Linked DNA regions of Tribolium castaneum. The protein of the gene in region 1 interacts with the protein of each later gene in a pairwise test. Links are inferred from orthologs where the notes say so. Each region holds a gene or a part of one and is shown on either strand. Other genes may lie near its edges.

Evidence for each region. The genes of interacting proteins can lie anywhere in the genome.
Region 2: the proteins of armadillo segment polarity protein (region 1) and alpha-Cat interact in binary tests that used the Drosophila melanogaster proteins (3 or more experiments, as listed by UniProt). The link is inferred for Tribolium castaneum from reciprocal best matches to the Drosophila melanogaster genes arm and alpha-Cat.

What each region holds. Positions count from the first base shown.
Region 1 is NC_087395.1:16,174,458-16,178,439, reverse strand, and holds the start of armadillo segment polarity protein, read right to left. Parts: upstream 2,801-3,982; 5' UTR 2,676-2,800; intron 2,641-2,675; exon of another isoform or gene 2,552-2,640; intron 2,336-2,551; 5' UTR 2,316-2,335; coding exon 2,282-2,315; intron 2,230-2,281; exon of another isoform or gene 2,167-2,229; intron 1,497-2,166; exon of another isoform or gene 1,386-1,496; intron 1-1,385. Other genes in the region: uncharacterized protein LOC660622, read right to left, coding at 3,067-3,161, 3,875-3,982. UniProt on the Drosophila melanogaster protein: Isoform neural may associate with CadN and participate in the transmission of developmental information. Can associate with alpha-catenin.
Region 2 is NC_087403.1:7,328,211-7,332,443, forward strand, and holds the start of alpha-Cat (catenin alpha), read right to left. Parts: upstream 2,827-4,233; 5' UTR 2,568-2,826; intron 2,500-2,567; 5' UTR 2,427-2,499; intron 2,097-2,426; 5' UTR 2,087-2,096; coding exon 209-2,086; intron 157-208; coding exon 87-156; intron 33-86; coding exon 1-32. Other genes in the region: adapter molecule Crk, read left to right, coding at 4,030-4,064, 4,115-4,233. UniProt on the Drosophila melanogaster protein: Associates with the cytoplasmic domain of a variety of cadherins. The association of catenins to cadherins produces a complex which is linked to the actin filament network, and which seems to be of primary importance for cadherins cell-adhesion properties.

The sequences.
Region 1 (3,982 bases):
TTTCCTAATCTTTTTTTAGTTATTTTACTTGATAATCCCTGAGTGTGGTTGATTTTTTTTTCACTCAGACAAAGTAGCATGGGATTTTTTAAATGTTTTGTAGCAGTTTGGAAATGAACAAAATGAAGTTTTATAGTTATTAATAATACGAGTACAAAAACACAAGCTTAATGTTCGAGAGCTGTCGTTATGCAACGAGCGTATGCGAGTTGCATACCTAAACACCAGAGAACATTAAGCTTGTGTTTTTGTACTCGTATTATTAATAACTATAAAACTTGGCCGTTTATTTCCAAACAGCTGCCAAAGTTATTCAATTTTTTTGTTGGAACATTTTAATTTAAAACACGTTGCTTTAGAAAGCGTGTTTTAAAATAGTGTAATCTAGAATTCAAATGTTAAAAAGAAGGCGTAAAATTGTTACTAACAAAAAATGGTATATTTTAATGTTTACTTGATTTATTATCCAACTTTTTTCAAAAAAATTGTAAGAAAACATTTCACTTGGTTTTTGAAATGAGTTAAAAACACAATTTTAAAGGTGCAGTCAATAACAAATATTACTATGATAATACTTTTGGTTACAATTTTTCTAAATAAGTAACAATAAAGTATTCTCTTACGACGTTGTCACTTTTTGTTTTTTATTTCAACTTTTGTTTACAAAACGAAAGGTTTTGTGAATTTTTGTATCGCTTTTTATTTAATTTTATTTTTGTATAGCTCTTAAGGTTGAACTATACTGGACTCACGGTCCACGTGGCCGTGCGAATGCACTAATTTGAGAAATTTTTTTAAGAAAAATAATAAACAAAATTGTTTTTTTTTACAATTGGATGTTGTTCCTAGGTTAACATATTACTCATGGACCAGTTCTTATCTCGATTTAAATATTTGTAACCAAGTTATAACGGGGTAAACAGCGTAATAATCTTAATGCTTTTATGGAAAAACCTAAAGTTCAAATAGTATGAAAAAATACAGTATTACAAGTAAGTCATAAAATACCCACAAAAAAAATTATCAAAAAATATAGTACCATTTTTTATTAAAAAAATAAAATGACTAAAAATTGAGGTTTTTTCATTTTATTTTTAAATGATACTAACAATTTTTTTCAAATGGATGTATATTGTTGCTAAAGTTCTCAGAAAGTTAACATATTTTTTTCAAGCAATTTGAACTTACAAATTTTGCGTTTACGCGTTTGCTTGAACAGTTCCTCTTCGGATAGTTCAGCCGTAAGTGCCTGTCCGCAACTTTTGGCATACACGATAAATCAATTTTGTAACTTCATAGGAATAAACTAGAATATAAGAATAAACTAAAATAAACTATGCTACTGTAACCAAATAAGTAATAATTCAAAAATAAATTGTACCTACTTTGTAGAGTTAGTAAGAAAATTCAATTGCAATTTAAACAGTTAAACACTTGCTTCTTTCAATGTTAGCGTACAAAACCGTTACTCAGGTATATTGCTTATCGTTATCAACATATCTGTATTTTATTTAAACATTGAATCATACCAATACTAACCACGTATCTAATATATGGTTAAAAAGTTACTCAGGAGAACGAATACATGTAAATAAAAGATACTAAAAATACGAGATAGCAGCAAAATTACTTTCGGAAAGATCACCAAATACACAGAAAAAGTTTTCACTTTAGGAAAACGACTCCAATATTTTCATACAATCATGTTCTGTAGGCTTATTAGACTGATATCTAGTCAAAAAAAGGGTCAAATACTTGCTAAATGTTGAATATACTCTAAGAACTCTTTATTTCTATGTAAGAGAAGATCTTGTACTAACTAATAATGGAATAAATATGCTTATTAAATTGTAATAAAATATAATAGTATGGTACTTCCTTAAAGATTATTTCTCTAGAACGAGTAAAGAAAGCCCATGTATTATACACAAATTTTTTCTTAATTTTTTTATGAGAATGTATGATTTGTATGAATAATAGGCTCTTAGTCACAACTGGGGTCATAGATACCGAAACCTCCACAAGAAAAAGTGGAAAATAATCAAACAATGAATTATTGCAGAGGAAATAAACTTCTTCTAACAATCCAATTATAAACACACCATCTGGAATGGTTTTTAAAGGGAATTCTCATTGTAACCTTTGACTGTAACCGAATAAACTTACATTTGAAGGATGTTTATCAAACTGGAAACCTCTCTCAATAAGTGTTTACGAAACCTTCACACACTGATTATAATTAATTAACACCAAACAATTAAAATACAAGAATGCAACTTACTGGGTCTATTCGGGTTGGACTGTAAGTAACTCATGGCGAATTACCACACCACACCTGAAACATGGAATTCTCTGAATCTCATGACCAATCTCATTGGAATTTCGAGCAGTGACAAGGAATTGCCGGATGAGGAATCGTTACGTGCTTTCAAACCGAAACATTTAATTAAACACCAGACGCTTCGTTTGTGTAACGATCACAATTTCCAAAGATTGCAATCACAAACCGATCAGACATCGGACTAAATCAGAATCAGAATCACCCACTCACAAAGAGATCCATGTTGTCATACACAGTTCATCGACATTTTTAAAACTTGGCCAAACCACACAAAAAACTCACTCTCACACTTACAAATGAATGAAATTGATAATTTTACACCGAAATAACTTACCTTGCGCCACAAAATCACTTTTTCCCTTTAAATTACGATAATATACGATAACGAACACAACAACACCGCACCCAATCACAAATATCAGATTGGCTGGCAGACCTGTTTACAAGATGCTGAAATGTCAAAGGGAAAAATCATTGATTTTAAGGTAAAAATCTTTATTTCATGTATCAAAAAAGCAGCAAATGTACGGTCGTGTATAACATTTTTAAATACAACATTAGAGTATAAAAAAACGCTAAATTTATAATTTCTAAAGCTAAACTATGGTTATGGTGTAAAAGTACTTCAAGTAGCGCGGCGCCATCTCCCAATCAGATGCCGCACTCATTCAACGCCCACGACAGGAATCTTTAATTCATCAAATATTGTTTCCTGTTTTTATCACTTATTCGTTTGAAATTAGCATGGCGGGAGGAAGAGTGATAGCAGCGTGACCTGATAAGGTCACCGGTAAATCGGCAATGCCCCTTATCCAAGCACCTAAAAAATTAACACTGTTGCAATTTTCTTTTCACACAGTGCGACGTTGCCATTTTATCAGGCTAGACTATGAAGCTTAATAATTTATTCACTACGGAAGCGGTATTAAGCTTTGTTTGGGTAATGTGAGACGAAAACAAAGTTTACATAATGTAGTATGGATTTTGGATTAAGCCAACGCAAACTTGGCGCACTGTAAATGGGGAAAATAGAAGTTGTTTGTTTCATTGAGAATGTGGAGATTTTTAAAAACTTTGCACGCTTTTGTATGAAAGTCCCCGCATTTGCATTCATATGTGAAAAACGTGAATAATAAACTTACGACTTGGAATGAGTTTTAGAAAGTTAAGTATGGAAATGGTGTGACAAAACGCTCGACTCTGAATTATATTATCTTAAATCAGAATTACTCCCAACTTTGTTGGATTCTGTACACGACGACAAATTATTTCTTGCGCCCACACAAGTCTGTTCTTGCTATCGGGTGTTTTCCATAATTTAAGCTCTCAAGTTAATTATTTTCTGCCTTTTTAGGTATTGTAATTCATAAATTCTTTATTCCGAGTTATTCTCCAATTTCATTTAAAAATTCATGAAGTGAAATAAGAGAGAACAGACAAGCTCTTGAGGTATATTATTTCTCCCGAGTAACCAGCTTTTTATGATTTTCCCTCATAAACTGACACCCACTTTCTCATTTAGTTTTCACTTACCTCGCTTCCAACAAAAACACTCAATGTTGGATAGACATCTCATATAAATGGTTGTGACACCACCCATGATAAAAATCTGGGTACCAACATACGCAACAGCATGACCAT
Region 2 (4,233 bases), on another chromosome or scaffold:
ATCCACACCATGTTCGCCAGTGTGAGCACTCGCTACAAAAAGATAAAAATGAATTCTTTAAAATAATAAAAAAAACTATAACGTACATTTGCTACGGGTTTCTAATGTATAATTTTCATCCAATTCTACATCTTCGGGGTCCAAATCTTCATCAGCCTATAACAAATTGTAACAAGTCTTGATAACACGTTTTTTGTTTTCATCTTACTCTATTCATCAGGACGGCTCTTCTAATTTCACGCACTCCATCGTACACCAATCGTGATGCGTCAATAAAATCATTCTCGTCAACCTCTTTGGTGGGAACGCTAGACAAAGCTTGAACGGCAACTTGGACCCTTTGACTAAATTTGGGCATCACTTGATCGTTTAATACTTTAACGGCTTCCAAAACGCGCTTAGTGTAAATACAAGGTTCATAATTATCCATTTCAGCAGTGACAACATTACAGACACGATTTGAGCGCCCTCTAATACCTCCTGCAGTTCTGTCCAAGGTATCGGCATCGCCTTCTTGCAACGCCAACACACACTTATTTACATCTTCTAGAATATGATTTTCCGATACAGCCAAAAAGTCATCAATTGTTGTAATATCGTCAACTGCTTCAGTCAAAATCCGGACTTGATTCTCCCATGATTGTTTAAAAGCGTCCATGTTTTCTTGAGCAACTTTGCTACGTGGTCGCGCTGCTAGAATCCTAGCAGCGTTGATTACTTCCGGACAGAGGTTGTCAATCTGTGCCGCTGCGTAGCGAACCATTTTGACACCGTCCTCGTTATTTGACATACTGCACACCAAGTTGGCAACTTCGACGAGCTTATTCGAGTGTTCAGTGAACATAACGGCAAACTCCTCGACTTCCTTCTCGTTACCATTTTGAGCGGCTTTGATCAAAACCAAGAGAGGAACGTTTGTTTCGAGAAAACTGTCAGAAACGTGGTCGACGACAGCTTTGCGCAACTGCCGTCTCAGATCGCGAGTTTTGCGGCCCATATTGTCGATGGCTCGATTCAAACTTTCGCTCTTTTCCTTATTGCCGATGTTTGACATGTACTCAGAAAGCAAGTCCTGAAGTGCTTGACGGACAGCATTACATTCGGCAACTATGCGTTCCCTTCTTTCGTCTCGGGTGCAGCTGGAGTCGGCCATAAGAGCTGCACCACTAATGATACTCTCCAAACGTTCCTCCAGAGACGGTCTCGTGTGAACCTCGTTGTAAGCCAACGGCTCCATAACCATATGATCGTCAAAGTCATCCAGAGCTGCAGCTAATTCTCCAGGACCATCGTATGGGCCTGTAGCCGGCTGCGGTGTCCTTCCTTGAGCGACGTCATTGATCGTATTAACAGCTTCACAAACTTGCTTCAGCACATAATCACGGTTAGCTTTCGCAGCTGCCAACTCCGGATGACGGACGTAGACTTTTGAAGCTGTCAGTAACATAGTGGAATGTTTCTTAAGTACAGCACGAGCAGCAGCTAAATCATCTCTCAGCTGAGGATCCTTCAACTCCTGTTGGCGCTTAGCTGCCTGATTCATCAGTTCGTTGGCATTCTGGCCAAAGGCCTTGATATTATCTAAAAGTTCGCCTTGACTTGACGCATTTTTCAGTTTTTCGATATCGTTCTCGACGACGTGAAGCGATTTGAGCAAGAGATGAACATCGACCATGTCAGCCAAAATCAAAAGACGGGTTACAGCGGAAAGAAGATTTCGTGCAGCACGCACCATATTGCCCCGTTTCAGGGAGGAACAAGGGTCTTCAGAGAATTCACGAGCGGCGATACTCATCGCGTTACCGGTTTTGCGAACTTCCTCAACAGCAGAGAGCATTTCTTGGGTTATGTCGGGGTTTTCGTAAGCGATTTGTTCGCCTTTTTCGATAAAATTCTCCGTGGCCTTCTCCACGGTGCTGACAAGAGCGTTAGCTCTCTTCGACTTGCCCTTTTTCTTTTTGCTGGGGCCTTTGGTATTTACAAGAGTCGTGACTTGTAAAACCAAAGGCTCCAATGTCTTTTCAACTGACATTGTCCTTATTTCTAAATTCTTCGGGTCCCACTTTAACCCAAAATGATCATTCATTATGCCAGATCTACAACCACAGAAAAAAAAAGTTCCAAAAAAACTAGATTAAAGTTAAAACGGTTTTAATAAATTTTTACTCTTGGTTTTAGTGTTTTTTTTTTAATATTGAGACACCTATGTAGCGTAGCGAATTATAAATTTTAAATAAAGTCACATTTTTTATTTTCATTAATATTTAAAAGCAATCGAGAAATCGAGAGAAATTATTAAAAACAGATGAGTAATGAGATTTATGTCTTAATTGCTTATCCAATTCCTTTTGTTAAGTTTATTAGGTGTTCTCTGTTTACGCTTTGCTATAAAATAATACCACTTGAAAAAATTTAAAATTACCTACCTATTTTTCCCAAGATTCTTCCCTCCTATCACACACAGAGATTTTACTTTAAGTAAAAATTCCAGACACTCAACTGCAATAAACTGTGACGATGAATCACCACTGAACAGTCATTAGTTCATGACTGAAAAAATTACATACCTCTACCTCACTCCAGAGTAGCCATACTAACAAAACATCAAATTGAACCACTCCCACTACTTGTAATGTCACTTTTCTTATCAATACTCAACTTTATCTTATCAAATGACAACCTTACTGTACATCCAAAATAATTGAATAAGACTTTTTGTTAATCATAAACCAAACAACGGAAAAAAGGACTTTTGTGTATAAATTATTTCTAACTAGCGTCAGTGTAAAGTTGGCACAAGAACGAAACTACCAACGGGGAAGAAGAAAATTCTCCAGAGCGAACCTTGAAAACTGGCGCCCTTTTAAAAGAATTTTTATTGTTGTATATAATGTAATAGATTGAATAATGTGGATTTTTAAAATTAGATTAATATGGTTAAGCAAAAACTGGCAAACACCTTCTGAAGAAGAAGAAAAAACTTCTAATCAAAACGACTATACAGTTCACTCAATATACAATTTTAGGAACAAATATTTGTAGATAAGTTAAATAGTGAATTTGCATGCTCTTGCCATAAAAAACGTGCTTATTTTTCTTACAAACGTGTTCGACATACCTGATCTGTTTTGTTTATTTTTCATTAATCATTAGTTGATTACAAACCCACAACAGGGTGATAAGTACATAGGTAGTAAGATAAATGTGTTAAAAATAAAATTTAATATTATTTTAGACTTACAAAATAAAATATGACGGCCTTTTGTAGACGCATCTTCAATACATTTAAAATAAGTTCATTTATAAAATCGTTTTGAATGAAAATTCGATAAAAATAATAAAAATAAATAAATAATAAAATAATTTCAGAGGGCTTGGTAGTGGCTTGGTTGTCATTATCATTATCATTGTCAATTTCGAACCGATATGTCATTTTGACAAAAGACGCATCTGTCAGTAGTGTCAATGGAAAAGTCTGGTATAAATCGGTATCGGAAATAAGGCCATTTGTATGCGTTTGTGTTTGAAATCCAAATTTTTAGAAAGGGAATTTCTCGTTAGTTTTTATATTTTGTGGCCTAAGGCTTGGAGGCAGGCCAGGTCAGTCGGCCATATCTGGCGCTGCTGGTGTTGGCTGCTCCGAGATCGACTGTATACCACGGACCACGGTAGTATCATGCGATAAATTTTAACAATTGTGTGGTGCAGCCGCTGATAAGAGTGTAGGGACATGTCTGTTTAATAAACAGGGGTGAAGGTGCAAGTTTGGGGTAATTTAACCGGAATTTGAGGCCATTTAAAAACTGCAGCAATATGTGTCGCTTGAAGAAGACTCATAAATGCATAATATAATATGAGAAAAAAAATTAGGTTAAAATACGCCAATTAATAATAGCGTTAAACAATATTGGACTGTACATAGGTATGTAAATGTCTTTATTTATTACAAGTTGGAGTACCTTCAGAAAATGCTTAACCGTTGCTATTATATTATCAAGTGGTATTAAAAAATAGTGCAAACCATAGAAAATGGCTAGTACATTTGATCATGAAGATAAGGACAGGTATGTTTTTATCGTATTAACGTTAGAAATTTAAAGGTGGTTGTTTTTAGCTGGTACTTTGGTCCAATTAGCAGGAAAGAAGCTACCGATTTGCTCATGGCAGAACGGGGAGGTGGTGTTTTCTTAGTGCGTGATAGTGCTACTTGTGTTGGAGACTTTGTATTGTGTG